Linked DNA regions of Cricetulus griseus. The protein of the gene in region 1 interacts with the protein of each later gene in a biochemical or structural test. Links are inferred from orthologs where the notes say so. Each region holds a gene or a part of one and is shown on either strand. Other genes may lie near its edges. The genes, in order: Cops7a and Cops4.

Region 1 (14,874 bases):
AGCATCTCCACTGCTCAACACAGGGAAGGACAGTCAGGGCTACATAGAGATCCCTATCAAAAAAAAATTGTTTTTAAAAAGGAGATATTTCCTAAATCCCCAGTTAGAGAACACAACAGGCCCAGTCAACCAGACCCACTAGGCCCCTCAGAGACAACACTTCACACCAAGTGAGGGTTCAACTGCCCACCTTCAACTGCATTCCCCTCCTCTAGGAAGCAAGCAGTGCTCTAGGCCGATCTCCTGCCATACTTCTTGGGAAACTCTAATTTGGACAAAAGGGCCAAAGATCAACAAAGCTAATAGTTTTATGCGTTTTCAATGTGAAATTTCAAATTCCCTACCAACACCTCCCCTTGTAATTCTACAAGGTGAAAGAAACAGGCTACACTGCAGGTCCTGGAGCGTAGGGACAGTGATGGTCAGTCTGCATCTCCACTGTTAAGACATGGTGGTGGTCAGGAGGTGCCCATTACTTCTGAACATGGGCTGAGGTATGGAGCAATCTGTCCAGGGTCTAGGCCTCCTGGCTGCTAGTCAAGAGTCTGCAAACAGTATCTGGTTCTTTTCACTTCCCAGCACTCGGCTTTAGAGTGGACTGGGATTGATCTTCTCCCTGTTAACAAACATCAAAGACAGAAGAGGCCCAGTTCCTGGCATTTTTGTACACAGATTTCTCTTAGATTTATTTCTGTGTCATGTTATATATAGACCTATTCATATATACCTTTTTTTTTTTTAATATACAATCTATATTCCCTTCCCCACCAAAATCACAAGAAGAAATACAAATCATTCCAGGATTTCCATTGGGTTTCCTAAGATGATTAGCTAACAAAGAACCATTTCTTAACATCTCAAAAATAGCTGTTCTGGGGCTCTGGGGTCACTGAAGCAACAGTATTCCCAGGCCCAAGGAGATGAGACAGGACAAGAAACAACTGTAGTGTGATGGGATTCTGGGATGAAAAGTGTTCAGCGACTCCCAGAATGGCAGACTGGCTCCAGAACTCTAAGGCTGGGATGAAGGTGGAGGACACCCTTCCCAATAGCTTTTCAGGTGCAGCCCAATAGGCACAGGGAAGGAGGAACTGCAGGTTAGGCATGCAGGGGTGGGCGTGGTAGAGAACACCTGTGGGTGGCGAAGAGAAAGCACCCTCCATAGGACTGCCAACCTGGTTGATGACGTGGGTAATGGGCAGACACAGTGCCGAGTGAAGATGAGAGCAAGCGTGTCAGGGAAGAGAGGCAATGGAACACATAACAAGTACCAACAAGACGTGACCTGGACTGGCCTTCTCCCTATAGGGGATGTGGCTTATGCTTGGGGGTGGAGGAGATGAAAAGTCATGAGCTAGGATTATCAGCTGGCCAGGGGCACAGAAGGCTCTGAGGACTCCTAAGGGGTAGGCAGGTAGGCAGCTGGGACCCCACATTCCCAGGGAAGAAACAAGTCCTTTCAGTTCGACTTGGACCAAATCTTGGCGCTCCCTCGGAGTCTGGCAAGGGGAAGAGAGAGAGAGGGGATGCAAGGGGTCCCCTAATTCCTGGAGGACACCCCCATTCCCGACCCCATGCACATGACTAAAGCAAGTGGAGCAGCCAGGCTGAGGCCCCTGAGGTAAATGTGGGGTACCCAGAAGCAAGCGGCTCCCCGCACGGGCTCACCCCTTGCCCTTTGAGGCTTTCTTGCTGGGCTGGCGCTGGTTGGTGCCAGGAGCTGGTTCTCTCAGCTCGGTCAGGTGTTGTTCTGGATCCTGAGAAGTGGCTGCAGCAGCTGCCGCTGTTGTAACTTTAATGGTTTTTTTAAGGTTGGCAACCTATCAGGATGAAAGGAATGGCAGATAGCAAAGTAGGTCCAGAACCTGACAGATCCTGATTATCTTATCAGTTTGCCTCAGCCACATCCAGCACGTGCACAGGCCAGGAGCCCAGGGCAGTAGCTGTAGCTGACCTGTTCCCTACCTGCTTACCTCACTCTCGATCTGTTGCTTCAGGCCCAGCTGTTGCTCCTTGTGCTGGTTGGCACGGCTGACTTGCTCCTCGATGCCGGACAGCACGACCTCACAGCCTACACACCTGTGGGAATCAGAGCAGATGAAGTGTTAGCAGAAGAGGCCTGTGATCATAAACTCCTAAAAACAAAACAAAACCTCAAAAGCAAGCCTCCAAGCTGGACTCGAAACCCCTGCCAAGGCTGGGAGCCCTCACCAGGCACCCGGGAACCAGCTACAACAGTATTTTCATCAGCAAACCCCCTGGAGTAGGAGAAGGAAGGGATAAGGGAGTAGCTGAGTGACACACACAGCGTGGGTGGGGCTGGGCGCTGTTGGGGAAATGGCTCAGTGGTAAAGAAGATGCATTGCTCTTCCAGAGAGCCTGAGTTTGGTTCCCAGCACCCACACCAGGCAGCTCACAACCACCAGCTCCAGTGGGATCTGACGCCTCTAGCCTCTGTGAGTACCTGCCTTCACCTGCACCCCTCTACCACACACACAAACACGAGTGCCAGGCACGGTGGTGTGTAACTGTGCATGCCTGTAATCTCAATACTGGGAGGCAGAGGCAGAAGGATTTTGAGTTCAAAGCCAGCCTGGGATACAAAGTGAGGTCACAATGAAGTTATAGGGATACAAAGAAGAAATTGGAAGAGAGACCCATGGCCCATGTGTTATGTGCCTATGACAGTGACAAACCTCCCATGAAGAACCCCCAAGAACCCCAATTACTGCTCCAACAATCCTGCCTCTTAGCACCCAGCATCTCCTTCAAGCTTGTTCCCTCAGAAGCTTCCAGAGCAAAGTACTGGTTTCTTTCTCTCCAATTGGACTAACCCTCTGCAGCCCAATCCCTGCTCTCTCCTGCTCACATAAGGGGATGGTTAAGGCCTGACAAGTTCTCACCACTCCTGCAGGGTTCGGGCAATGGCACTGAGGTCCTGGCGCTGGATGTCTCTCCCGATGCTGTAGTCAACCTCCAGCCGCTGATTGCGCTGGTCCAGGGAGCCCCGCAGGATATCTGCATACACGGCCTCGATCACAAGGTCTTCCAGCTGGCGCACGTTACGAAGGGCAAGGGCCTCCAGCAACACTGCATATGGGATACACTGGGTCCAGGGTCAGACCAGGGTTTGTGGGGCTCAAAAGCAGAGGACTTTCCATATCCTCCTCCCTCTTTTCCCCACTGCTGAGTCCCACAGGTCCTCCATTCCTATCTCTAAACCATTTCCCAGGAAATGTTAGTTCTAAAGCAAACGTATCACCACCTCAAAACATCATCAGAAAAGGACAATCCTTCCTTCTTTTTCCTTTTCTTTAATGTACTCTGACCCAGGCTCTTATTCTATAGCCCAGGCTGGCTTGAACCTCACTATGTAGTCCAGGCTAGACTTGATCTTACACTAATCCTTCTGTCTCAGCCTCCCAAGTGTTGGATTACATAAGACATGACCCCAGACTCAAAAAGACACTCTTAACACACAGAGATGCTACCCTACTATGCCCCACTTGCCCCAGCACAGTGAAAGAGTGCGACATCTTCCTGGGCCATTTCTTTGGCAGTAGCTAAGGATATTGTATTACATCAGCTTGACATCAGAGGACTATACATAGGAGGGGTCTGGAGTTACTCTGTTTAACACTTGGACTTAGCCAAGTTACAAACTGGCCTCACCTTTGAGGCCTCCTCAATTGTGAGTCTGATCCCAACAAAAGTCACCAGGACTCAATTCTAGCTAATGCCTGGGAGAGTGAAGACTAGGAACACGTGGTGTAGTGTAACAAAAAGCTGGGCCCACAGGGACACAGACACTTCTGAGGTACACATTATGTCTTATTGTAGCACACAAGCCTGGCAGTTCCAGGGGAAGAACCCCATTTCTAGCTCTGAGGCTTTGTTGTCCTGGGACTCTGTATGGTGAATGAACGAGGATTATCAGGATCCCAGTATCTATTTTGACACCAAACACAAAAGATGGTAACTTAGAACTTAGGTTCAAACTGAGAAACTACAGCCTCCATGACTGCAGTAATGGAGTTTCAGTTCAGACCTAGACAGAGTGAGGTCAACAGCTGTCCTGGTGGAGACTCCCAGTGACAAACAATAGGCAGTCTCTGGCTTTGGACTGGTAGGCGGCAGGACTGTCACTTACCTTGACTTTGGCAGCCAGAGTGACAACTGAGAGATGCCGAAGCTTATTCTTCTGAGCCTCGGTAAGTGGGGGAAGATTCCTGGCTTCAGCTAGGGAAGGGGACAGAAGCCCAGGCATCTTATTTTTAGCAGTTTCTTACAAGTTTTCTGCACCAATTACGGTCTTAGATTGCCCAGAGGTTCACTTACGCCATCTAAGTGGGGCACCCCAGAAATTTCTTCCAAGTCTCTCCAGAAACCACCCTTCCCCTGTCTCCATAGCTCCACAGCTCCAGCCCCCATTTACCTAAGTAGTCAGCATAGGTCCCATAGGCAAACACTGTGAGCAGCCGGAAGGTGGAGGCAAAGTCGCTTTCTGCCAACTGCAAGAACATCAGGGAAGTGACAAGAAGGAGCTATTTGAACTCAACTTTCTGACCCATCCTCCCAAGAGTACCTATCCTGGTTCACCAAAAGGCCTTCTATACATTTCCGAGCATACACTGTTGCTGAGGGCTCACTCCTACCTCGAGCTCTTTTGTTATGCTATGCATCAAATTCCTACTCTAAATCAGGGGTGTTTGGTGTATCATACACACACATCAGATATTGTAAGTTAGTTTGGCTCTCAGAGGGCACAGAATTTGTGGCCTCTGCTTCTGACTGTCCTCAGTGAGGTGGTCTTACATCATCCACCAGTATCTCGAATCACCGCTCACTCATCCTGGCATATCAGACATGCAGCATCTCACCTAACTAACAATAGTTTTTAATAAGGCCAGAGACCCAGCATCCATTAGCCTACAAGGATGCAGCAGAATTGCAGCCCTCAAACTAAACTCTTGCTAAATAACTGTCTTCCACAGTTTCATCCATTTATCTGATCTCTTTAACTGAATACAAGCTTGAAGGGCAAACCTGTAGCCTTATATTTTGCAGAATACTAAACACTGTAAGGCAATTAGAAAATGTTTCTTCTACTTATCTTAAAACTATACTTTAGTTCACTGTAGATAAAATCAGGAACAAAAGATAGCGCCAGTTTTCTATAAACGGCAACCCAAAACACATTATATCCTCTAATTCAACCAGAGGCCTCTTAAAACTCGGCTCAGTTTAGCCACACTACTGTTAGCCTCTCAGGACAGAGGCCAGTGACACAGTGTTGGCCATCCATTTGCTCTATACTTCAAGCTCTTGACTGGCCATTTGTTATTGATGCTCTTTGCTGTGTTCATAGCAGTTTACCATTGTCTTTGGGAAGAAGACATTGTCTTCATTATCTACCATAAACGAATTTGTATATTCGACACTTGGGGAGGTAACATAGCATGATAATATGCTCATCTTTACATTTTTAGGAGGCTTTAGACTTTCCCATAATTTTACTTCTGTAATTGTTGAGAGGCAGTACTTTTTTCCTTTTTGCAGTTCTGAGAATCAAGCTATAGAGAGCCTTGCATGCTATAGACAAGGGCTCTTTCACTGAGCTACATCCCTACTCCTTTTTGAGATGGACTCTAAGTTGCATAGGCTGGCCCAATATTTGTGATCCCCCGCCTTAGCATCCCAAGTTCTGAAAAGGACCCCGAGGCCCCACGAATGCTAGGCAAGCACTCTTATCAACTGAGTCATGTTCCAGTTTCTCATCACCATTTTTAGGAGAAAAGTGAGCCTTTTAATAAGGTTTCTCTGATCAAGGTGACATTTTTTTTTTCTTTTTGTTTTGTTTTGAGACAGGGTTTCTCTGTAGCTTTGGAACCTGTCCTGGAACTTGCTCTGTAGACCAGGCTGACCTGGAAATCACAGAGGTCCGCCTGCCTCTGCAAGTGTGTGCCACCACTGCCAGGCCTTGGTTTTTTTTTGTTGTTGTTGTTGTTTTTGTTTTTTTTTTTTTTTGAGACAGGGCTTCTCTATGTAACAGCATTGGCGGGCCTGAAACTCATTCTGTAGACCAGGCTGGCCTCTAACTCAGAACTCCACCTCCCTCTGACTCTTGAGTGCTGAGATTAAAGATACCCCTCCACTACTGAGCTGGTGACATGATTATTAAGAGGTATCACACTGGTGGACAGGCTGAACTTACAAGCAGTATTCTGAATGGCATGTACTTTTGCTTATAAATTAAAAAATCCAGCTGGGTGGTGGTACATGCCTTTGGTTTCGGCACTCAGGAGGCAGAGGCACTTGAATCTCTGTGAGTTCAAGGCCAGCCTGGTCTACAAAGCAAGTTCCAGGACAGCTACAGTTGTTACAGAGAAAAACCTTGTCTGGAAAAACAACAAAATCCTTGCTTGCTTTGGCAGCACATACACAAAAAATGGAACGATACAGAGATCAGCATGGCCCCTGAGCAAAAAATGACACGTAAATTCGTGAATCGTTCCACATTTTTAAATAAGAAAAAAATTAAAATCCGGCAGAAGGCCTAATAGGCAGGAGGATTGCCACAAGTGCAAGGCCAAGCCAGACGATGACTACTACTACTAGTCTAGGGCAGCCGGGTCTTCACAGAGAAACCCTGTCTCAAAAAGATGTGTGTAGAGGGAGGGGACGTTAGATTTACAGACCCCCTTGATCTCCAAAGAGAAATGAAAGACCTTTATTTAACTGGTGGTTAGTTACCAACACCCTGTTGACCTGAGTGGCTTACTGGTTACAAAACGAGCCCAGGCATTCTTGGAAGAAACTTGGGCCCCAAGGTTCTCGGTTGGACTACCCGGGCAAGCAACCCACCTCTCTAACATTGGGCATATCCAGCAGTTCCCCAAACACGTAGACACCAGGGGCCTCCAGCACCTGATGGATGAGTGTGGCCAGCGCTGCCCCCTTGGCCGACTTGGCAAGGAGCAGAAACTGCTCCTGGTTCTGCCCTGTCACCTTCACCTCGGCGCTCATGGCTGCACTGAGGTGCGGGGGCTCGCTCTGGTCTCAAGTTGTCTGGAGCTGCAAGGAAGAGAGGATCGATCGTGAAGCTCAGGGGCCCGGGGCACTGGCGGGGACGGGTCAGCTCGAGGGCAGGGAACCGCACTCCAGAGGCAATCAGTAAGCCAGCCACCTCTGCAGTGAGAAATCGGGTCAAGAGGTCTTAAAAAAAAAAAAAAAAAATCCAGCTCTAGCTTCCTTGGAGTGGGCCGCGGCCCGGCTGCCACGCCCACCCTGCGCGGGGGTCCGGGGCCTAAAGGCAAGCCGCCCCGCGTGCACCCCGCTGGGCCCGCAGGCAGAGGCGGCAGAGGCGGCAGAGGCGGCGGCGGCGGCGGTGAGGGACGCGGTGGCACATGGTGCCACCCTAACGACGACGCACCCCCGCCCGGCTCGGGACGCGTGTGCTGCACGTGCCCGCGGCCACGTGACCTCACCCCCCGCGCTCGCGGCTCCACCCCTCCCTTAAAGAGGCCGCCCAGGACCGGCGGCTCCGCACCGGAGGGGCCGGGCTCGTACCCTGGAACCGGCCGCGGCCGCTACCTGGAAGCCTCGTCCTCCAGCGCACGGGGCGGGGCGGGGCGGGCGAGCGGGCGGGCGGGCGAGCGGCCGCTCCGTCACCTCCGGCGGCTGCTCCCAGCCTTTCCTGCCACCTCCCGCAGGGCCGCTCTAGCCGCGCGCTTCTATGGGCAGCTTCCGGCCGTCCTTCCGCTCTCGGGAGGCGGCTTCCGGGCGGCTGGGGCCCGCTTCCGCTTTCCGACGGCGGCTCGGGACGAGCGGGCTTCCGCTCTGCGGAGAGAGGGTTCTCGGGGGAAGAGCGGTGGGTGCGCGGTGCTGCGAGCGCGGGGAGACGCCGGGGCCGCCGGGACGCCCCCCACTCCCCACCCCACCCCCCGGGAGCTGCAGGGCGGAGCCCAGGGCAGCGCGGAGTTTCTGGGCGACTTAGCGTCGCAGGGACGCGTGCCCGAGTTAGTGGTAGACGCGGCTCGGGTAGTTGAGCCACGCGTGTTTTTAAGAAGAGGAGTTTGGTTTTTTGGTTTTTTGGTTTTTCGAGACAGGGTTTCTCTGTGTAGCTTTGGAGCCTGTCCTGACACTCGCTCTGGAGACCAGGCTGGCCTCGAACTCAGAGATCCTCCTGCCTCTGCCTCCAGAGTGCTGGGATTAAAGGCCACGCCCGGCTAAGAAGAGGAGTTTTAAAAGGCAAAGGGGCCCCGAGTGGTGGCTCATGCTTGCTTTTGCGAGGTAGAGGCGGGGTGTGGGGGGGGTATCCAATCAGGAGTTCAAAATCAGCCTCAGCCATATAGCACCTTCCAGGCCAGTCTGGGCTATTTGAGAACCTGTCTCAAAAGGAAGCAAATGGTAAAGCGGGGGAAATGGATTGGTCGGACTTTTACCGTTTTCTTCCGTGAAGTTTTCAGAGCTTTACTTGGTGACCACACTTGTGTGGCCTTGGTTACCACCCAGTAGTCCTTATGTTTTGACGACTGGAATCTCAGTTGACAGGAGGAAAGTGTTAGTGGAACGGAGGCAGGTGAGGAAATTTAAAAATTAAAAGGGTTTAGATGGGAGCTGGGCGTTGGTGGCGCACGCCTTTAACGCCAGCACTCGGGAGGCAGAGGCAGGCGGATCTCTGTGAGTTCGAGGCCAGCCTGGTCTACAAGATCGAGAGTGCCAGGATAGGCTCCAAAGCTACACAGAGAAACCCTGTCTCAAAAAACAACCAAACAAAAAAGGGTTTAGATGGGCACTTGTAATCCCAGCATTCAGGAGACGGAAGCAGGGGGATTGCTTTGAATTCGAGGCTAGCCTGAGCTACAGTGTGAGAGACCCTGCTTTAAAAAAACTTTAAAATCTTGGGGTGGTGGTGCACACCTTTAATCCCACCACCCGGGAGGCAAGGCAGGTGGACTCCTCAGTTGCAGGCCAGCATCATCTGCATAGGGAATTCCAGGGTACCCAGAACTACTACATAGTGAGAGCAAGTCTCAAAAAACACAACAAAACCCAAAAATCCTTACAGAAAACTTTCAATGTAAGGTAAAGCCAGATGTACTGGTGCATATCTGTAATGCCATCACTCCGGAGGCTGAGGCATACGAATAGAAAGTTCGCATAGAATGACCTCATATCTTGAGAGAGAGAGAGAGAGAGAGAGAAACAGAGGCCTAGAAGTGTGAGCTTCCTAAGTAACCTGTGAGACAAAGGAGCACGGGATCCGAGTGTTCGCTTATTTGGTTCCATCACTTCTCAAAGGTAGACGCAGTGGTACATGCTTGCCGTCTAGCACTTGGGAGGCTGAGACAGGAGGATCTTAGGTTCAAAGGTAGTCCAGGCTGTGTAGTGAGTAGTGAGTTCCAGGCCAGTGTGAGTTACATACTTGTGTGAGAGTGTTGGGGAGAGGGGGAGAAGAGGCTTAGAAAAGAAGGCAACAAAGACAGAAGACAGAGAAAGGAGAAATTCTCTGAGATTTAGTCTTGATTCACCGTCAACAGCCTGTCCTAGTTTGCTTGCTTTTTTTTTTTTTTTTTTTTTTTTTTTTTTTTTTGGTTTTTTCGAGACAGGGTTTCTCTGTAGCTTTGGAGCCTATCCTGGAACTAGCTATTGTAGACCAGGCTGGTCTTGAACTCACAGAGATCTGCCTGCCTCTGCCTCCCGAGTGCTGGGATTAAAGGCGTGTGCCACCAACGCCTGGCATAAGATTTTTTAAAAATCCTTTTTTTGTTTTCCAGACAGGGTTTCTCTGTGTAACAGCTCACTTGGTAGACTAGGCTGGCCTAAATATCATAGATTAGCTTGTCTCTGCCTCCAAGCGCTGGGATTAAAAGCATGTGCCTAAAATCTTAAAAAGAAAATGACTTTATAGCCAGCAATGATAGCACACACCTATAATTCCAAGAGTTGGGAGGCTGAAATAGTATCACAAGTTCAAAGCCTGGGCTACATAAAATGATCATTTCTCAGAAAAAAAAAACTAATAATCTAAAGGCAAGTTGTACAAAACTTTTAAATTGTACATCATGGGCTACAGAGGTGGCTCAGCTGTTAAAAGCTAGGGTGATAACTAAGAAGAGTGTAGATCATTTAAATTTTATAAAACATTTTCCAGAAAACAGGAAAACTTAGAATGCTTATTCTATGAGACCAGAACTATTTTGATAAAATCAGACAGAGGCAAAACTAGATTGAAACAAAGTCAGCATCTCTCACCCAATACCAAAATTGTCAGTAAAATATGAATCCCGAAATTTCAAAAATGGAGGGTATCAGGACATCTTGAAGCCAGATATGATGGCTTGTGCCTATCATAACCAACATTTAAGATGCCAAGGTAGGAGGATTGTTCTGAGTTCAAGGCCAACCTACACAGTGTGAGATGAAGTCTTAAACCCCTCAGTCAGAAGGTACATGGAAATATAAGTATGTATGTATGTATATATGAATGTATACATATATATATATATAAATTTATTATTTATTTATCTGTATGTGTGTGTGCACATGTACCAAAATGACTGTGTAGAGGTTCTTTCCTTCCACGTTCCACCATGGTCCTGGGGATTAGACTCAGGTCATCAGGCTTGGCAGCCAGTGTCTTTACCCCTGAGCCATCTCACTGATTCTCAAGAAGATATTCTCAAAAAGGACGCAGACAGAAACACGAGCTTTATTAGACACCAAGACATGTACAAGACCATAGGTGTAGTTCTGTGGTAGGCTATATGCTTAACATATGTGAAGCCCTGGTTCAATCTCCAGTACATAAAGAAAGCATAATGGCTGGTGGTGATGCACACCATTAATCTCAACCCTAGAGGCAGAGGCAGGTGGGTCTCTGAGTTCGAGAATAACCAGGGCTACATAGAGAAACGCTGTCAGGAAAAGACAACAACAACGAAAACATACCATTGATATACATAGAGACAGATGGACCACCGGATCATAGTAGCCCTGATCAGATTCACACATACAGACAACTTGATGTGTGACTGCACTTTCGAGCAGGAAATAATGAACATCTCACTGATTCTGAGATCTGGGTATATATGAAGATAGATAAAATTGAATCCTTACCTCAAATCATACACAAAAATCTATTCCCAGCACACTACAGAGTAAATATAAAGGGCTTTAGGAGATAATTCAGAAGAATATACCCACAAATTCAAGACAGAGAAGTACTTATTTTTGCTTCTTGAGAGAGCTTGTCTCTATCTGCAGTCCTGCCTGGCCTGGAATTCTCTAGTTTTCCTCTGCTTTTGGATCATAGCCTGGGATGGAAGATAGGTGAGGACTGCTAAATGCTCGTTCTAACCATAAGGTGAAAAGACCGGTGCATTTGGCAGCATCTGTTCATCAAAACACAAGCCACCAGATGGAGATATGGGTCAGTTAGTAGAGTGCTTACCTGATATTTACACTGGGATTAATCCCTGGTAGCACATCCACCGTTTGGTGGTACAAGCCTGTAATCCCAGTGCTCAGGAGACTGGGGTGGGACAGTCATCTTGGTTAACTAGTGATTGAGGCCAGCTGGGCTATGCGAGACCCTGTCTAAGAAAGACCACCAAAGTGAATACGAATTGGGCTGGGGAGACAGCCCACTGAGTAAGGTGCTTTCCCACACAAGCATGTACAGACGTGGTACAGGTACAGTTCCTGGTACCCATGTGAACCACGCTGGGCACAGCAGCATACACTTGTAATCCCAGTTCTGGAGATAGGGAGACGGGATCCCTGCAGTTCACTGGCAAGTTAAGATTAGCAGAACTGGCAAGCCTCAGGCCAATGGGAGACCCCTTCTCAAACAAGGTGGATAGCTCCTGAGGAATGACACCCAAGGTTATTTTCTGGCAGCCACACAAGCACACACACACACACACACACACACACACACGAGAGAGAGCGAGAGCGAGGACAACAAAAAAGACGTGGTCATGGTGAGGCCCCAGGTCCAAATTCCGGTACTTCACAAACAGAAAGAAAAGATAATGCTTCAATATACTTATCCTTATTTAAAAGATGCACCCAGGATGCAGAAAGAACCACACAGGAAAAAGAAAAACAAAGCCGAAAGCCTTAACAATAAGTTATAAATGTGAACTAGAGGTTTGAACCAACACTAAACAAAAGAAATATTCAAGAAACAAACAGAAGAAAACTTCCTCAATTTCATTTGTAATGCAAATTACAGCCACAATTAGTAGCATTGTCCACACTAGAGCTGCTAAAATTAAAGCCTGAAAATACAAAATGTTGCCTGGGATTCAGAACAAAGAAACACCCCTACACAGATAATGAGAATACTAGTGGTTAAACATTTTGTTTTTAAACATAACCGTCCCAGATTGCCCTCAAATTTATCTGTTTCCTGACTCAGTGTTGGAATACAGGACTGCAGTACCATGCCTGGGTACTTAAATCACTCTGGAAAAAGTTTAGCATTATCTAGTAAAGTGATAATTTAACACCCACATATATAGAAAAGACATATGACATTACTACATACATTATCTCCAAAATGAAACAAATTATATTGTTAAGGAATACATACCCATTCATAGAAACTACAAAGAAAAACAAGGGGACTGTGGATAGAGCTCAGTGGAGTACTTCCCTATCTTGCACTCTTCCCTAGGGTTGAGACACAGCATGGCATAAACTGAGCATGTAGCCTGTGTCTGTCATCCCAGTGTTCAGGAGGTGGAGGCAGAAAGATACAGGCATTCAGGCTGCTTCTGAGCTACATAGGCAGTTTGGGCTACGTGAGACGCTGTCTAAAAAAAAAAAAAGAAAAAAGAAAAGAAAAGGAAGCTGCTAGTAGTATCACCTTTAATCCCAGCACTTGGCAGGTGGATATCTGTGAGTTTGAGGCTAGCCTGGTCTACAGATCAAGTTTCAGGGCAAGCAGAGCTATATAGTGAGAGACCCTGTCTAATAAGAGAGAGAGAGAGAGAGAGAGAGAGAGAGAGAGAGAGAGAGAGGAGAGAAGAGAGAGAGAGAAAAGAACAAGGAAGTAGTTTTCATAAAAAATCATTATGCTACCTCACACTAGTGAGGCATGAAAAACATAATTGGGCAGGACACTGTCTTTTGAACCACATACAAAGCTGTTTTTATTACGGTGATTATACAGTGTGAATGCTGTTACTCAGTTTATAACCATTCCCTCTCTAAGTACTCATTATTTTTTATGTTTTGCTACCTTTATATTTCTGTCTATTACATTTCAAAATAAGAAAGGCTTTCAGAAACATTTCATTCAGGGCTGGAAAGACAGCTCTAGAGTTAAGAAACGTATCATTCTTGTAGAGGATCAGGGTTTGGTTCCTGGCACCTACATCAGCTGGCTCACAGCTGCCAGTTCCAAGGGATCTGATGCCCTCTTTTGACTTCTGCACGCCCTGCATGCACATGGCACACAAAGTCATGCAGGTACACACATATGCACATAATAAAACACATAAACCTTTTAAAAAAGAAGTGATAGACTGGAAAAAAATGAGTAAACACTCCTTCATGATAGAAACTCTAGGAATGTAGAAGAGCCTTCCTTAATTTGTAATAAACATATTCATTGTTCATTTGTTTTTTTGTCTTTTCAGACAGGGTTTCTATAGGCACCCACAAATGTGGGGATATACATACATACATATAAATATAATAAATTATAAAACAAACAATGCCTAAATAAATAGAAAGGTAGGTTAAATCCATATCATGAAATTTCAATGTCAAAAAGAAGTGGTTATGGGCCATGGTAGTGTACCCCTTTAATCCCGGCACTCGGGAGGCAGAGGCAGGCAGATCTTTGTGAGTTCAAGGCCAGCCTGGTCTACAAATTGAGTTTTAGGATAGGCAGAGCCACACAGAGAAACCCTGTCTTGGAAAAAAAAAAGAAGAAAGGAAAAGGAAGGAAGGAAAAAGGAAGAGGAAGGGAAGGGGGAGGGAGGGAGGGAAGGAGGGAGGGAGGAGGGAGGGAGGGAGGGAGGAAAGGTTGGGGCTGGAGACTTGGCTCAACAGTTAAGAGCACTTGCTGATCTAGCAGAGGACAGATGCAGGTTTGGTTCCCACAACCTAAACAGTGGCTCACCACTCTCTGTAACCCCATCCCAGGGAATCTGGTGACTTCTTCCAGCTTCTGCAGGGAGTAGGCACACACATGATGATTATACATACATTCAGGAAAAACTCATAAAATACAATAAATATATCTTTTTAAAAAGTTCAAGACCACCTTGGGATATTTTTATTTATATTTATTTATTTTATCTGTATGAGTATTTTGTCTGCATACCACATGTGTGCCTGGTGTCCAAGGAGGCCGGAATTGGGATGCCTGGGACTGGTGTTACAGATGATGGTGAGCTGCCATGTGTATCCTGGGAATCGAACTTGAGTCCTTTGCAAGAGCAACGAGTAATCTCTCTCTTTTATTTTATTTTTATTTGGCTTTTTTCGAGACAGGGTTTCTCTGTGTAGCTCTAGCTGTCCTGGAACTCACTCTGTAGACCAGGCTGGCCTCAGACTCAGAGATCCGCCTGCCTCTGCCTCCTGAGTGCTGGGATTAAAGATGTGTGCCACCACTCTCTGGTTAAGAGTCCATTTATTAAAAGATGAAATGTTGAGGCTGGAGAGATGGTTCAACAGTTAAGAGCACAAACTGCTCTTCCAGTGGACCCAGCACCCATATCAGGCAGCTTACAACTCCCTGTTATTCTAGGTCTGGGGGAGTCTCTCTCCTCCAGCCTCCCTGGGTACCTGAACTCAGGTGTACATATCCAGATATTGCATGCCTATAATTAATTTATATTTATTTGTTTATTT
Region 2 (14,874 bases), on another chromosome or scaffold:
TACTTAGGCAAATTTGATGCCTAACCTAAAGTTAAAAGTTTTTTGATGCCATGTGTGATGGCCTACACCTTTAGTCCCAGCACTTGGGAGGCAAAGCCAGGTGGATCTACATGACTTTGAGGCCAGCTTGGTCTACAGAGTTAGTTCCAGGACAGCCAGGGCTACACAGTGAAACCCTGTTTCAAAAATCCAACCAACCAACCACAACAAAAAAGGAGATTTATTTACTTTTACTTTGTGTGTAGATGTTTTGCCTATACAGATGTCTGTGAACAATGAGTATGCAGTACCCACGGAAGCCACAAGAGATCATCTGATTTGGAACTGGAATTTCAGATGGTTGTTAGCCACCACGTAGACAGGTACTGGGAAATGAACTTGGGCCTCCGAGGGCACAAGTCATGCATACATGTACACACAGATGTAAACCAACACTAATACACATAAAATAAAAATAAGAAACCTTTTTAAATACATAAAAACACAACCAGAAAGGCTCCTAACCCCCCTGTGGTGGTTTGAAAGGAAATGGCCCCCAAAGGGAGTGGCACTCTTAGGAGGTGTGGCCTCATGTGCACCTGCACACATGCACGCACACAGTATAAATAAGTAAATGAAAAAGACATGGGAAAGCCAGGCGGTGGTGGCGCACGCCTTTAATCCCAGCACTCGGGAGGCAGAGGCAGGAGGATCTCTGTGAGTTAGAGACCAGTCTGGTCTACAAGAGCTAGTTCCAGAACAGCCTCCAAAGCCACAGGGAAACCCTGTCTGGGGGGGGGGGGAGAAAGACATGGGAAGCAGGGAAAAGAACAAGAAGTATTTTCTAGTCCTGAAGGCAGTGGAGGGAGAAGTGAGGTGGTGAAGACACTTCTACAGAGAAAAGGGAGGGCTCTACTTTGGAGCTCTCTGTAAATCTGCTGGAAAGAATGAGAAGCCAGTTGCTGTTTCTGGGAGACTAACAGAGCTAGAAGGATGTGATTCAAGTTCTTTGCCTGACAAACCAGGAAATAAACACAAGCAACTTGAAATAAGGTTACAAATTCAATACCAAGGATTATCTAGGAAAAAAAATCTGAAGTCTTTTCGTCTTAGATTGTTAGCAGGTGCTGACAGAAGGAAATGAACATTCTCTGACACACAGGAGCCTGGCTCCAAATTGTTTCTAAAAACATCTCTGAAAATTATTTACCAAAAAACAAAGATTAGTAAGGCACATGATAGTATTAGCTAGCATCAATAAAAACAACAATCAATTGCAACAACTAGGAATTATTCTGAAGTGAGAAAAACTGTAATATAATTACACCCAGGGAGGTAAGGCAAGCTTTGAAGTTCAACAAGAAAGTAGGAACTGGTGTCATGTCATTGGAAAACAAACCATCAGAAATTACAGAACTGAAAAAGATTATAACCAGCTTAAATACTCAACACTAGAAGAGGCAACCCAAGAACTGCTAAAACAGAAAGCAGATTAAAAAAAACCTATCTAGAATGAAGCATAGAAATGAAAAAATACACGAGAGAAGATATAGAAGTCCCAGTATGTTGTTCTGAACAGAGGTTTCACTAGAGTCTAGAGGAGAAATAAGACAGAAAAGAGGTAATGAAGAGGTTTAACTTGGACCAGAGATGGTTGTTCATGCCTATAATCACAATACTTGGAAGGCTGAGGCAGGAAGATCAGTAAGTACAAAGCCAGTCTGAGCTACAGAGTGAGATGCCATTAAAAAAGAGAGAGAGGCAAACAGGTAAATAGATTTTCCAATAAACACTTCCAGAACTGTTTAAACCATCTAACCCATTGGGCTTCCCAGTGAAGCTCAGCCGATTAACTTTGACTATCTTCAAAAAGTGGTCACAATTCTTTCACTCCCTGTATCTACACTCTTTTTCAATTTGACTTTGTAGCTCTTCACATCAAAAACAAAAGGTTTATTTCCCTATCCCATTCTAAACTTTTTGACCAATAGAATGTAGCAGAAATGAAATGCCAGTTCTGAGCCTGGACCTTAAGAGGCTTTGAATGTGTTATTAACTTTGGAACCCTGTTGTCACGTATTAGCCATGCAACTCGAAAAAGCAAAGCAGTGCACCTGGCCTGCATCTCAGTGTAGATAGATGGGGTATACCTGGCCTGCAGCTCAGAATATGCAAATGTCTACTAAGTGACTAGGTGACTATATTTTAGAGTGAGGAGTTCATAAACATGGACTATAAACTGGCTTGACTACTAGGTGCCTTCAAAGTTTCTTTTTGTGTGTGTAAGTATTCCTCCCCTTGCAGTCCCTCCCATTCTCAGAAGTTCTTTCTCACTTTTCCTAAATAAAGCTGTTTACTTTGAAAAAATAAAAAGTATACTTTCTGGTCAGGGAAGTGGACAAATGAACAATCAATCTAATCTATCCAAATAAAAGTAAGCTATAGCTGGTCACAGGCAGACCAATTAACTAGGCCTAACGTGGGGATAGGTGTGAGAATGTGAGCAAGCTTCCGGGAAGCCACTTAATCAAATGTTGAGGACCAAGTAGGTTAGCCAATTGTGTTAAGACAGGCTATCACAACAATTACCTTCACATGTTCCCTCTCCAGTCCCTCTTTCTCTTCTTTATATAGCCCTGACCTGGAACTCACAGAGATCAGCCTGCTCCAACCCCCAAGAGCTGGAATCCAAGGCCCCAGCTTCTAAGCTTTTCTTGAAAAGAGATTAATTTACTTTTATGTGTGTGTGTGTGGCCTGCATGTATGTCTGTGCACCACATGTGTATCTGGTGCCCTTAGAAGTCAGAAAAGTGTACCCTGGAACTGGAGTTATAAACAGTTGTGAGCCACCCTGTGAATGCTGGGAACTGAATTCAGGTCCTCTGCAAGAACAGTAAGTGTTCTTAACAGCTGAGCAATGCTCCAGTCTCCTCTCCAAAGCTTTGTAATAGGTAATAAATATATATGTTATATGAAAAGAAAAAGCAGCCAATGTATATAAAAACAAAAATGCTTTTTTATGTGGCCAATTTCTTATACCAAAATTTGATAACTGTTAATTCAATTATCAGAAAGCACTTCTAATTGAGTTTTTAGCAAGAAAAGCAATATAGTCTGGTTAGTTAAAAGTGAGCTTTTAAGACAAACATGGGTTCAAATAGAAGTTATGTTACGTCCCCTTCTAGCCATTTACTCATTAACCAACATTTCTTGAACAATACACTGTATGGGAACACAGAGGGCTTCAGTATTAGATATCTTTTGTTTCGCAGTTCCCAATATAAAAACCTTAAATAAACACATGGCATAGGTGCTTCATAAAGTTATGTGGCTGGCAGAACTGTTTTGTTACAGGGGTAAACATCCTAACATTCTTACCCAGATAGTACTGGGCAAACATCCAGAGACAAGGCCAGAAAGCAGCACTGAGGGAGGGCTGGAGAGATGGCTCAGTGGTCAAGGGTGCTGCTCTTCCAGGGACCTGAATCCAATTCCCAGCACCCAGGTCAGAGGGCTCCCGGTGACTCCCTCTTTTGGCACCCATGGGCACCTGCACACAGATGGTACTCACACTCACACATACATAAAAATTAAAAATAATCAACTAAATCCTAAGACAAGAAAGAAAGCAGGTGTTGGTGGTATACACCTCTAATCCCAGCACTCGAGAGGTAGAGGCAGGCAGATCTCTGTGAGTTCGAGGCCAGCCTGGTCTCCAGAACAAGTGCCAGGATAGGCTCCAAAGCTACATAGAGAAACTGTCTCGAAAAACCAAAAAAAAAAAAAAAAAGAAAAAGAAAGAAAAGAAAGTGATACTGAGGGAGGAGCTAGCTAGTACTACATGGGCTACCATTTATCAATCCAATCATTTCATTTGCTCTGAATAATAAACTCACATGGTAAACTGCCACAAGAATAGTTTCCAATGACTCCTTTGCAATATCACTTTGCTACTAAAAAGTTAGTGGTACATTCCATTTCCTTTCCCCCTGAATCACTTGCTTTCACCAGTATTACAGAGTCAATGGAAGACTTCTCAGGCTAGCCTTAAGCCTTTCAGCTTTCATTCTCACTCAGGTAGAACACTCTAATGGAGAAGCCCAGAAGAAAGCCAAAGCTACACTATGAAACTAGAATAAAAGACCCAGCCAACAGCCAGATACTGACATGAGCCCAGCCCTAACTGAACTGCTAGCCAAATTAATCTGTTTAATTGAACCAGGCAAGACCAGGAAGACAGCCCAGGTGACACAAAGAATCCTGGGGAGAAAAGTATGCTTACACCACTAAACTGTACGTTTATTAAGCAGCAACAGACAAAGAAACAACCCACTGGAGACATACTACTGCTCATCTCCAATTCAAAGCTAAAGAAGTTAAGGAGTAAGCCAAAGTTCCAGAATGCTTCCCAGTTCAAAGAGCTACAGCTTATCTGACAACTAATGGCCTTACATTTTCTGAAATACATAAGCTAGTTTTACTTTCATCCAAACCAATAAAAAGTATTAATACATGCAAAAAAGACTAAACAATGAAGACATAGTCAACTACTTCCAAATCCTGGAATAAGTCAGTATATATTTACCGACTGCTTAATAGTAACAATTCTATGGCGTTTTCTATATACCAGGGACAGAACTCAGATATTTAGTGTGATAAGTACACAGACACACACTCATCTTGAAATCAGGTAAGACTAAGTCTCACAATCACACTACCACTTTTTTTTTAAGCAGAAAAAGGAAGCATAAAGTAGTTAAGGCTGGGGTATAACTAAATTTACCAGCAAAAAAGCAGCACAGCTGCCATACAACATCTACACAACATCAATGTGCAGGCTTGAGCAAGAGTGTTCAACAGTTAGATCAACGTGCTCTCAGCTGCCAGCATGTAAAATCAATTGGAGGCCTACTTTCAGCATAAAGAGCTAGGTGTGGGGGGTGCATGCCCTTAATCCCAGGAGTCCAGAGGCAGAGGCAGGCGGATCTCTTGAGTTTGAGGCCAGACTGGTCTACAGAGTGAGTTCCAGGAAAGCCAGTGCTACACAGGAAAACCTGTCTCGAAAAACAAAGACTTTCAGCAGAGAGCAAACCTATGAAATCTACAAAAAGAAAACGACTAAAACTGTTCAACAGGGGGAGCTGGAGAGATGGCTCAGTAGTTAAAGAGCACTGGCTGTTCATCCAGAGGACCTCGGTTCAATTCGCAGCTCACAACTGTCTGTAACTCCAGTTCCAGGGGATCTGATACCTTCATAAAATAATAATAAGAAAAAAATATATATATACATACATACATACATACATACATACATACATATATAACAAATTATGACTTGGAGTGGACCTAAGCATTCTAAGGTTTCTACAAAATTCCTAAACAGCCTATGGAAACATCAGTGTTCTAGAAATCCTAGATCGAGGACATTCTGCCTGTGTTCTTTTCTGCAGAGCTGGTGACAGAGACTGAGGGAGAGTATCCAGAACATAAGGACCTACACACGCTATTTAAACTTGAGAAGTTCTGGGCGACATGACAACGGCCATACTCCTCGGCCCCTGTCACCCTGGAAAGCCTTCTCTTAAAAAAAACAAACAAACAAACAAATAAAACTCTGCATCAAAGCCCAGACTATAAATTTATCTCCACCAAGGTGAGGGCGGTGGCGGCAGCAAACAGAAGTCAAACTCGGTATGTTGGGCTCTCCAGAGCCACTAACGAAGGCGGCCACCGCCGATGGAGCCGTCATCTTTCGTGCCACGCTTGCAGAAGCCAAAGGAACCCGTGGAGGACGTTACCAAGGACTTAAGACGCTGCAGTCAGCACGGGTCTCGGGGCGGTCTGGACCCCAGCACACGGTCCCTGACAGTCTTCTGCGGCTCCCAGCATTTACCGCCACAGCCTGAACCAGGCCCGCCCCCCTGAGCCCTCGGGCCTACCACCCCGGCCCCACACCCGAGAGCCCCCGGCACCTCTAGGAAGGTAAATTTGTGCCTCCCATCCCACCTCTGGACTCCTAGGAAATACTCACTTGCCCGCCAGATCTTTATGAGAGCCACTCAAATTCATGAGCTGGGCCAAATCCTGTCTCACGGCAGCCGCCATCTTTCTTCCAGCTCAGCCACGGCTGCGGGACCGCTCGCAGCCGAAAAGAAAACGAGTGTGGTCCTCCAGAGCGCAGGCAGAGGGAACCCGAGGTGCCATAGATCGCGTCTTTACGGGCTAGAGCGCCGAGTGTGGGAGCCGGAATTAGCCCCGCCCTCGGGGTTGAGCGACACCAAACTCCTCTCCTCCCGTTTGAGACCCGCCCAGGCCTCTCGAGAGACGCTGGCTCTCACGCTCCGAACTGAGATTGGCTTAAACCCTTGAAGGAGTGTACCTTGTGCAACCTCAGTAAGGGCCCGGCGCGTTAAAACTACAGCGTTTTCACTAAGTTCCGGGTCTGAGGGTCGTCGTTCTGCCCTTCTTTTTTAAGGCATCTCTAAATCACCTATGGTAAAGAATGAGCTGTCTATAGTTTTTATTTCCAATTCAAGATAGTCCAACATTGAAAACAAAGCAAAAACAAACAAACACACACACACACACACACACACACACACACAATTTAGCTAGGAGGGAATACACCACGGACAAGAAAATAATTCTCTCAGGATAAGGCACCACCATTTAGAGGTGCTGATGTCTGCGCTTCCCCACATGTGAGAAACTTAATTGCATACTTTATAATAATATCAGTGGACTGCTTTCAGCGCACCCCCCCCCCCGCAAAAAAAGGCTAGACTGCAATACCAACACTCCAAAGGTAGGAGGCAGGAGGATTCGAAGTTCAAGGCTATGTTCCTGAATTTAGCAAGTTGGTGGCCAGCTTGGACCATGAGAGAACCTATGAGAGACAAGAGTCTAGGAAATAGATTTAATGTACACACACATCCCTGTGGACTGACTATATATGTGTATTCCCTTTCTCTGTTACATCCTATATCTTTTAAAAGTATTCATCAGAACAATGTTATTTTTCAACTATTGTCCTGAAGTAACTATTAATGATACTGCCTTCACTTTACAAACCGTTATTTGAATGACAAGTTATATGGTCATCTTACTTTTAGATGAGATTACATTCATTATTTATGTATTATTTCAAAACTTTGCAAAATTACAATCAAATAGGTGCAAGACTTTGCATTCTCTTCTTTTCACAATAAATGACACATCTTGTTGTTCTATCTTTGGTGTTTTCACTTTTCGGACAATCCAGCAATGTAAGTCCAGTCCTTTGTTAGCATTATTCTTAAAGGTAATGATGGTACATTACATTTAGTCTTTATAGGATATATAAGTAGCTTTAAGAGAGTAACCAATGGTGCAATGAATAACCTTATATGTGCATGGTTTAAGATATATGCAAGTAAAATACACTCCCAAAAGTAAATCAAGGTACACACAATTTTTGCCAGATATTGCCAAATTGTACTTTACAGGAGAATTTTAGTATTTTCTTCCTTCCTTCCTTCCTTCCTTCTTTTCTCCCTTCCTTCCTTCCTCCCTTCCTTCCTTCTTTCCTTTATTTTTCTTTTGACATTTTTGAGACTGTTGGGAAAGATATTGGGGAGATGTTGGGCCACAGCCCCCACGGTGTCTCTGTGAGTTGCTTGCCAGTCAATAATCACAGGTGCATCCTGTTTTACAGTCCTGAATTACAATCCTGGCCGTACCCCACAGCATAAAAAACACAAGGTCCTACACCTGGGTTTTTTCCACCGTGCTGTAAGTGTACATAAGGCTGCTCTCTCCTTTCACTAAGACAGACACACATAGCACAAGTGGCCAGATGGCTCTGCTTTTAACGAAATCTCCAGGCTTTTGACTGATACTTGGACTTAGTCATGGAGCAGGCGCCACAAGTGGAGGTTCCATTTGACTTAGTAGTGGCATGGGAGCCACAGAGACAGGGTTTCTGTGTTCCCCTGGCTGTCCTGGAATTCCCTCTGTAGACCAGGGTGGCCTTGAACTCACTGAGACAGGATTGCAATTTCTTACGGACTTACTTACCTACAACAAATACCAAACTCAAAGCATTTTACCTTCTTGGTATTTTATAAATGGCATATTCTATCTATTGGTAAGTATATAGAACAAGGGAAACAAAATAGCAGGTATCCACACCAATTCAATCATGTTCTTTTGGCAAGAATATCTAGCATCACTGAGACTGGAAACTTGCTTTCCAATAAGGTTTGGGGGGCGCTTATGAATCCAAAGTGTGGGTCAGGTCTGTTGCCACAGGCCTCTTAAGGCCTGCCTGGAGAACTTTGGCGGGAACCTGTATGAAAATAGGAAGCTAAAAAGAAGGCTACACTTATACCTTATAGCTCAGTGGTAGAGCACTTGCCTACTATATATAAGGCCCTAGGTTAAATTCTCCGTCCAAGAGTGATGGAGAGAAAAAAATGAAGAAAGGAAGATGAGAGAGATGGACCCAGGGGATGAGAGATGGAGGGAATTGGAAGTCTCTTCTATAAACTGTCTATCTAAGTATCCTTTTGCAGTAGAATAACTTCCTTCCCTGAGGAAGAGAGTTCATCATCCCACTCAATGTTGCCAAAAAATAAATCTACAACAATTTAAAGATCTTCAGTTGGATATACTTTTTATTTTACAATCAGTCATTTTTTCAAAATAGAGTAAATGTTCCAAGTACGGGGACATAGATATATAAACTGAAAAAGGAAAGAAACAGAAAAGTGAGCCTGGCATAGTGGCTCATGCCTGTAAACCCAGCACTCAGACAGTTGAGACAAGGGGACTCGTGCAAGTTTAAGGCTATCCCAGACTAACATAGTGAATTCTATTTAAGTCTGTGCCACAGACTAAGATCCTGTCTCAAAAGTAAAAGGAAAAGTGGTTTGGCTCTTTCAAACTTAATTTCTTTGTAAGACAATATGAAAAATGTAACTTGAAAAGTTCCAAGTTACTTTAGGTTAATTTAATTTTTTGTTTGTTTTTGAGGTTTTGGGGTTTTTTGTTTTGTTTTGTTTGTGAAAGTATAAAACATTGAAGGAGCTTCATCAATGTGCTAATTGAAAAACTTTGTTTGAAAAATCTCTTTAATCTTGATATCTCTAAGGTGGAATAAATAGCTTGATGTTATATGTTACTGTGAGTCATTCCGTTTTTGAATTATAGTCTAATGTCTAGGGGCAGGAGTGGAAACTTGGTCCAAAGCAACGGCATTCTGTGATTTTATGTGACATGTTTACATCAGCTCAAAATCCAGGATGTTAAACAAAACAAAAAGCCTCTCGAGGGGCTGGAGAGATGGCTCAGTGGTTAACAGCACTTGCTTCTTTTGCAGAGAACCTGGGTTCAATTCCCAGCATTCATATGGTGACTCACAACTGCCTGTAACTCCAGTTCCAGGGGATCTAATACCATTTTCTGGCCTCCTGGAGCTCCCACACAGAAGTAGTACACATAAATTCGAACAAACAAACACACAAACACGAAATAAAAATAATAAATCTTTCAAAAGTAATTTTAAAAATACAGGTTGAAGAATTGGGCAGATGACTCAGTGTGTAAAGAGTTTAATGTACAAGGAGGTTTGGATTCCTAGCACCCATATAATAAAAGTTAGTCTGTGACAGATAGGTCCTGAGGGCTTGCTGGCTAGTCAGTCTAGCTGAAAGAGCAAGCTTCCAGTATTGTGAAAGTAAGATGGAGATGGATGTAGGAAGACTGCTGGCCTCCATGTGTGCATGCATGGATAAGTGCACGTTCACATGCTAATGTAATAGTCATAACAGTCTCACTTGCAAAGTTTCTAATTTCCTATGGAGCTTAGAAATTTCCACATGATTAATGTTTGTTCCTTACTGAGAACTCTCACCTTTTCACCTAACCAAGCCCTCTTTGGCATGTCAGATTTGCCAGTACCATTGCCCTTTGCACTCTGGGGGCATTATTAAGTAAAATAAAGATTACTTTCGTGCAGGGACAGCGATAAGAGCTGATAACCAGGACAGCTGATAACCAGGACAGCTACTAAGTGACTGGCAGAAGGGCAGCATACACATTGCTGATTCACTGAGCAAAGCAATGATTCATTTCCTAAGCAGCACTGAGAAGAATGTCTGGGGAATTTATCATAATACTCAAAACAGTGCTCAGTTTAAAACTTAGGGATTGTTTGTTTCTGGAATTTTCCATGTAACATTTTCAGACTGTAACTAACTACAGGTAATTGCAATCTCTGAAGGTAGAATCAGGAAGGCGTGGCACTAACCTTGACACTGTTGTACCTTAAACCTGCCTCCTTGGTCTTTGGGGGTCTAGTGTGTGTGGTGTAGTGGGTGTACATGGTGTTGGATGAAATTAAGAATTACTATAATTAAGTGGATGTTGAAGTTCACTGGGTCTTGAACAATTGAGGGTGGCAAACCTCAACATTACAACCCATAGATTTGGGAATCTCCAAAATCTGCTGGCTTCCAAGAGTTCTCTGGCTAACGATAGGTGTCACATCTGTTAAATAATGTTGACAATCTTAAATAATGTGACAGCCCCACCATGTTGAATGTTTTCTGTTTATTTCTATCCATTGGTTGTTCCTGGAGGAGTCTGATGAGGATGGCTGAAGCAGAAGGTATGACTTCAATCTGGGCCCGGTAGAATGGTCAGTCCCACTGTACTTTTCAGACCCATCCAGTCACTGTATGCCTTGGTGATGCTATCCCTAGGAATTTTTTGAAAGCAGATCCAGGGGTCGCACAACTGTCTGTAGCTCCAGTTTTGAGGGACCTGACATTTTCTTCTGGTCTCTGTGGGCACCAGGCAAGCATATGGTACACACAGACACATGCATACAAAACACTCATAATCATAAAATAAATCTAAAAAACAACAATGTAATAATTTGTTTCTTAGTTCAGACCTATTAACATCATCACATTAATAACATGCTCCCCACCCCGTAATTCCAGAGCAGTTAAAGTTGAGAAGCTGGATGACGTGTGAGCCCATGCCTTTACTACTGGCACTTGGGAAGCAGAAACAGACAGAGCTCTGTGAATACCAGGCCAGCCTGGTCTACATAGCAAATTCCAGGCCAGCCAGACCCTACAACACAGCGAGACAGCGAGACAGTGTTTCACAAAAAGAAAGTGGAGGGTGGAGAGAGAGATGGCTCAGTGGTGAAGAACACAGATGACCCTGGGTTCATTTCCAGGCACCTACATCAGGCAGCTGACATCTGCCTGAAACCACAGTTCTAGAGAAATGGATGCCCTCTTCTGGCCTCTGGGGGCACCACCACTGTCACACACACACAGTCACACATATGTACACATAATTAAAATTAAGTATTTTTTTTAAAAAAAAAGAGTTGAGAAGTTGAGAAGCATCCAGCATATCTTGACACCACTTGTATATGAATTCCAAAGTGCAGTTTCTCTGGCAGGAATCTACCATTTTGACAACTAGACAGGCTCTAGCCTCTCACTACTTCCCTACAGATATGCAAACGAGTCATCCTGGACTCCCCTTCGTGGTGTACCAGAACATGACTCTTGTTGTTTTTTTTTTGTTGTTGTTGTTGTTGTTTGTTTTTTCAAGACAGGGTTTCTCTGTGGCTTTTGGAGGCTGTTCTGGAACTAGCTGTTGTAGACCAGGCTGGTCTCGAACTCACAGAGATCCACCTGCCTCTGCCTCCCGAGTGCTGGGATTAAAGGTGTGTGCCACCAACGCCCAGCCAGAACATGACTCTTTATAGGAGAAAAGAATGTGTGTGTGTGTGTGTGTGTGTGTGTGTGTGTGTGTATTTGTGTGTGTGTGTGTGTGTATTTGTGTGTGTGTGTGTGTCTGTGTGTATTTGTGTGTGTGCTGTGTGTGTGTGTGCTGTGTGTGTGCTGTGTGTGTGTGTGTGTGTGTATTTGTGTGTGTGTGTGTGTGTGTGTGTGTGTGTGTGTGTGTATTTGTGTGTGTGCTGTGTGTGTGTGTGTGTGTGTGTGTATTTGTGTGTGTGCTGTGTGTGTGTGTGCTGTGTGTGTGTGGTGTTTGTGCTGCTGTGTGTGTATTTTTCTGTGTGTGTCCTGTTGTCTTTTGCACTATCCCTCTTGTTTGGGGTGGTGCTATGAGACCATTGGTTTTAGAATCATTGTGTGCTTTGTAATTAGACTCGATACAGTCGGTTCCCAAGAGGCTGCCTTTCCTTTAGGGGGATTATAACTGATACAACTGGAGTGCTAGGAATGCTCTTACTATTGTATCAGTATTTTGTCCTTTTCATAGGACAGAACTAGAAAATATGTATTTTAAAGGTGAAATAATGCATGAGTTCATACAGATACTCCCAATCATAAGCTTGTCTGGGCTACATATGTATCTTCTAATTTTCACACCCAGAGTCCCAGGTATCAAGCACATTAGGAAACCCAGATTCAGGATATCCCATAATCACTCATTATATTTGCCTCACACTAGACTTCCAACAGCCTCAGAGTAGATACTAATACTACTAGAGAAATATGATTAAGAAAAACAGTTGAGGGGGCAGTGAGATGCATCAGTAGGTAAGGGAGCTTGTTGCTAAGCCTGACGACCTGAGTTCAATTCCGGGAACACACATGGTGGAAACTGAGAACCATGGCATGTGCATGTTCTCACACATACACACATCAAATAAATAAATGGGGCTGGGGATTTGGTTGAGTGGTTCATAGCACTTGATGTTAAGAGGACCAAGGTTTGGGTCCAAGCACCCATATGGCAGCTACAAATGCCAGTAACTCCAGTCCCAGATAATCTGATGCTTTCTTCTGATCTCCACAGTCACTCTATGGTACACAAATATATATACATATAAACACCCATATACATAAAATAAAAATGAATAACTCTAAAAAGAAATTGTAAGTTGTTACATTTAAAGATATGTTACATTTGTTTGTGTTGCAGAATATTTGTTTAACTATGTAAAGATGTGTTACTGTGTCTGCCTAAGGCACATGAGTGGTCTAATAAAAAGCTGAATGGCCAATATTTAGACAGAGGAGGGATAGTATCTACAATATTTAAATTTATTTTCTATGTTTAGCTTAGTCACTATGGAAAATATTAAATAATAGCTGTTTTATCTTTACATTTAAAGTTTACATTAATTCATTTGTGGGGGTGGCACATGTATGCCACAAAACATGTGTATATGTCTGACGACAACTTGTGGACTCTAGGGGTAGAGCTTAGGTTGTCAGGTTTGGTAGTAAGCATCCCCTGCCATCCCCGTTGAGCCATTCCACCAGGCCCTACATCTCTACATATTTATCAAGTACTTTTTGTTGCTGTTTGAGACAGGGTCTCACTATGTACCCTTGGTTGTCTAGGCTGGCTTTAGACTCACAGAGATCTGCCTGCCTCTGCCTCCCAAGAGTTCTCGCATTAAAGTGTATCACCAGGCCAGGCTTAATTAAGTTCTTGATAAAGGTGCTCTTGTCATAATGGGGATGCCGCTGCCATTTTGTTGCAATACATGATGTTGCTGCTTTTAACTGTAGTTTTACTACACTGCAGGAAAAATTGTGTGTCAGTGTGTCTGTGTGTATGCGTGTGTGTGTAAGAGAGAGGGGGGTCCTCACTAATTAATACAGGCTGAGTTCTGGGTTCAAACTCTCAATGTTCTTGCCTCCAAGTAGCTAGGATATGGGTATTTGCCACCCTTCCCAGCTAAAAGCTTTATTTAGTTCTTGGTCTTATATGAATTTCATTTATTTATTCTTTTTTTTTTTTTTTTTTTTTTGAGACAGGGTTTCTCTGTGTAGCTTTGGAGCCTATCCTGGCACTCGCTCTGGAGACCAGGCTGGCCTCGAACTCACAGAGATCTGCCTGCCTCTGCCTCCCGAGTGCTGGGATTAAAGGCGTGCGCCACCAACGCCCGGCTTTCATTTATTTATTTTTAACATTTTATTTTTTAAATTATGTGTATATCTGTGTGTGTTTGTGGTTGTGCACATGAGAATGGGTGCCCTTGGAGGTTAGAAGAGGATGTTGGATTCCCTGGAGCTGGAGTTACAGGCAGATGTAAGCCACCTGACATGGATGGTGGGAGCTGAACTTGGGTCCTGTGCAAGAAAGGTACCTGGGCCTAACCATGGAGAGATTTCTCCAGTGCCTTCTAAGAATTGTAATATTCAGCATAGTTGTTGAGTATTATATGATGCATCCCTAGATACCATGCTTTTTTCCTGTACACCAGGATACTGACTAATGGAAGACTATCATTCTCCACATAGACTAAATCCTTTGGTATGGTGTGAGCTCTTTTGACTACCAGATTGCTAACATTGATAAAATTGTAATAGTCACAGTAAAATCAGAAATGTTTCCCTTAATCTTTAGGTGCTGCTTTATAGTAGTGGTATCAGAATTGTGCTAGCCTGGTGGAAGGAACTCAGAACTTTTCTATTAAGGTGTGTGTGTGTGTGTGTGTGTGTGTGTGTGTGTGTGTGTGTGTGTGTGACAGGTGAGGATTATCTCTTTATACCCCACCAAATCTGGGAACTCCATCTCTGCCCTCTTCTTCCAGAGATGTCCCACAGTACCACTAGTCATGTGACCAAGATTTCTGGCTAGTTCTCAAAGTTTCTCATAAACTAAGTTCACCATACTGATCCCTAATAAAACCCATGTGTATTCTCCAACATTCTCCCTATGCTAATTCCACACCACTGAGCTTGCTAAAGTGTTGTTATAGCCCTACATTTCAGGCCAATATCTTGTAGGTGCTTGACACCTCTTGCTTTTAGTTAGCTGTTTGAATCTTGGGAATTTATTTTTGTTTTGCAGATGGAAAAATAAACTTGTTATATAGGAACTAGTGGAGGTACCAGAATTTAAACC

Evidence for each region.
Region 2: the proteins of Cops7a (region 1) and Cops4 form a complex in vitro, tested with the Homo sapiens proteins (2 studies listed by BioGRID). The link is inferred for Cricetulus griseus from reciprocal best matches to the Homo sapiens genes COPS7A and COPS4.

The regions. Positions count from the first base shown.
Region 1 is NC_048601.1:21,444,792-21,459,665, reverse strand, and holds Cops7a (COP9 signalosome complex subunit 7a), read right to left. Parts: upstream 7,737-14,874; 5' UTR 7,594-7,736; exon of another isoform or gene 7,570-7,593; intron 7,367-7,569; exon of another isoform or gene 7,075-7,366; 5' UTR 7,027-7,074; coding exon 6,865-7,026; intron 6,524-6,864; exon of another isoform or gene 6,423-6,523; intron 4,512-6,422; coding exon 4,436-4,511; intron 4,240-4,435; coding exon 4,151-4,239; intron 3,107-4,150; coding exon 2,904-3,106; intron 2,080-2,903; coding exon 1,974-2,079; intron 1,821-1,973; coding exon 1,669-1,820; intron 1,500-1,668; coding exon 1,460-1,499; 3' UTR 617-1,459; coding exon of another isoform or gene 589-616; 3' UTR 291-588; downstream 1-290.
Region 2 is NW_023276807.1:162,542,334-162,557,207, reverse strand, and holds the start of Cops4 (COP9 signalosome complex subunit 4), read right to left. Parts: upstream 6,233-14,874; 5' UTR 6,085-6,232; coding exon 6,011-6,084; intron 1-6,010. UniProt on the Homo sapiens protein: Component of the COP9 signalosome complex (CSN), a complex involved in various cellular and developmental processes.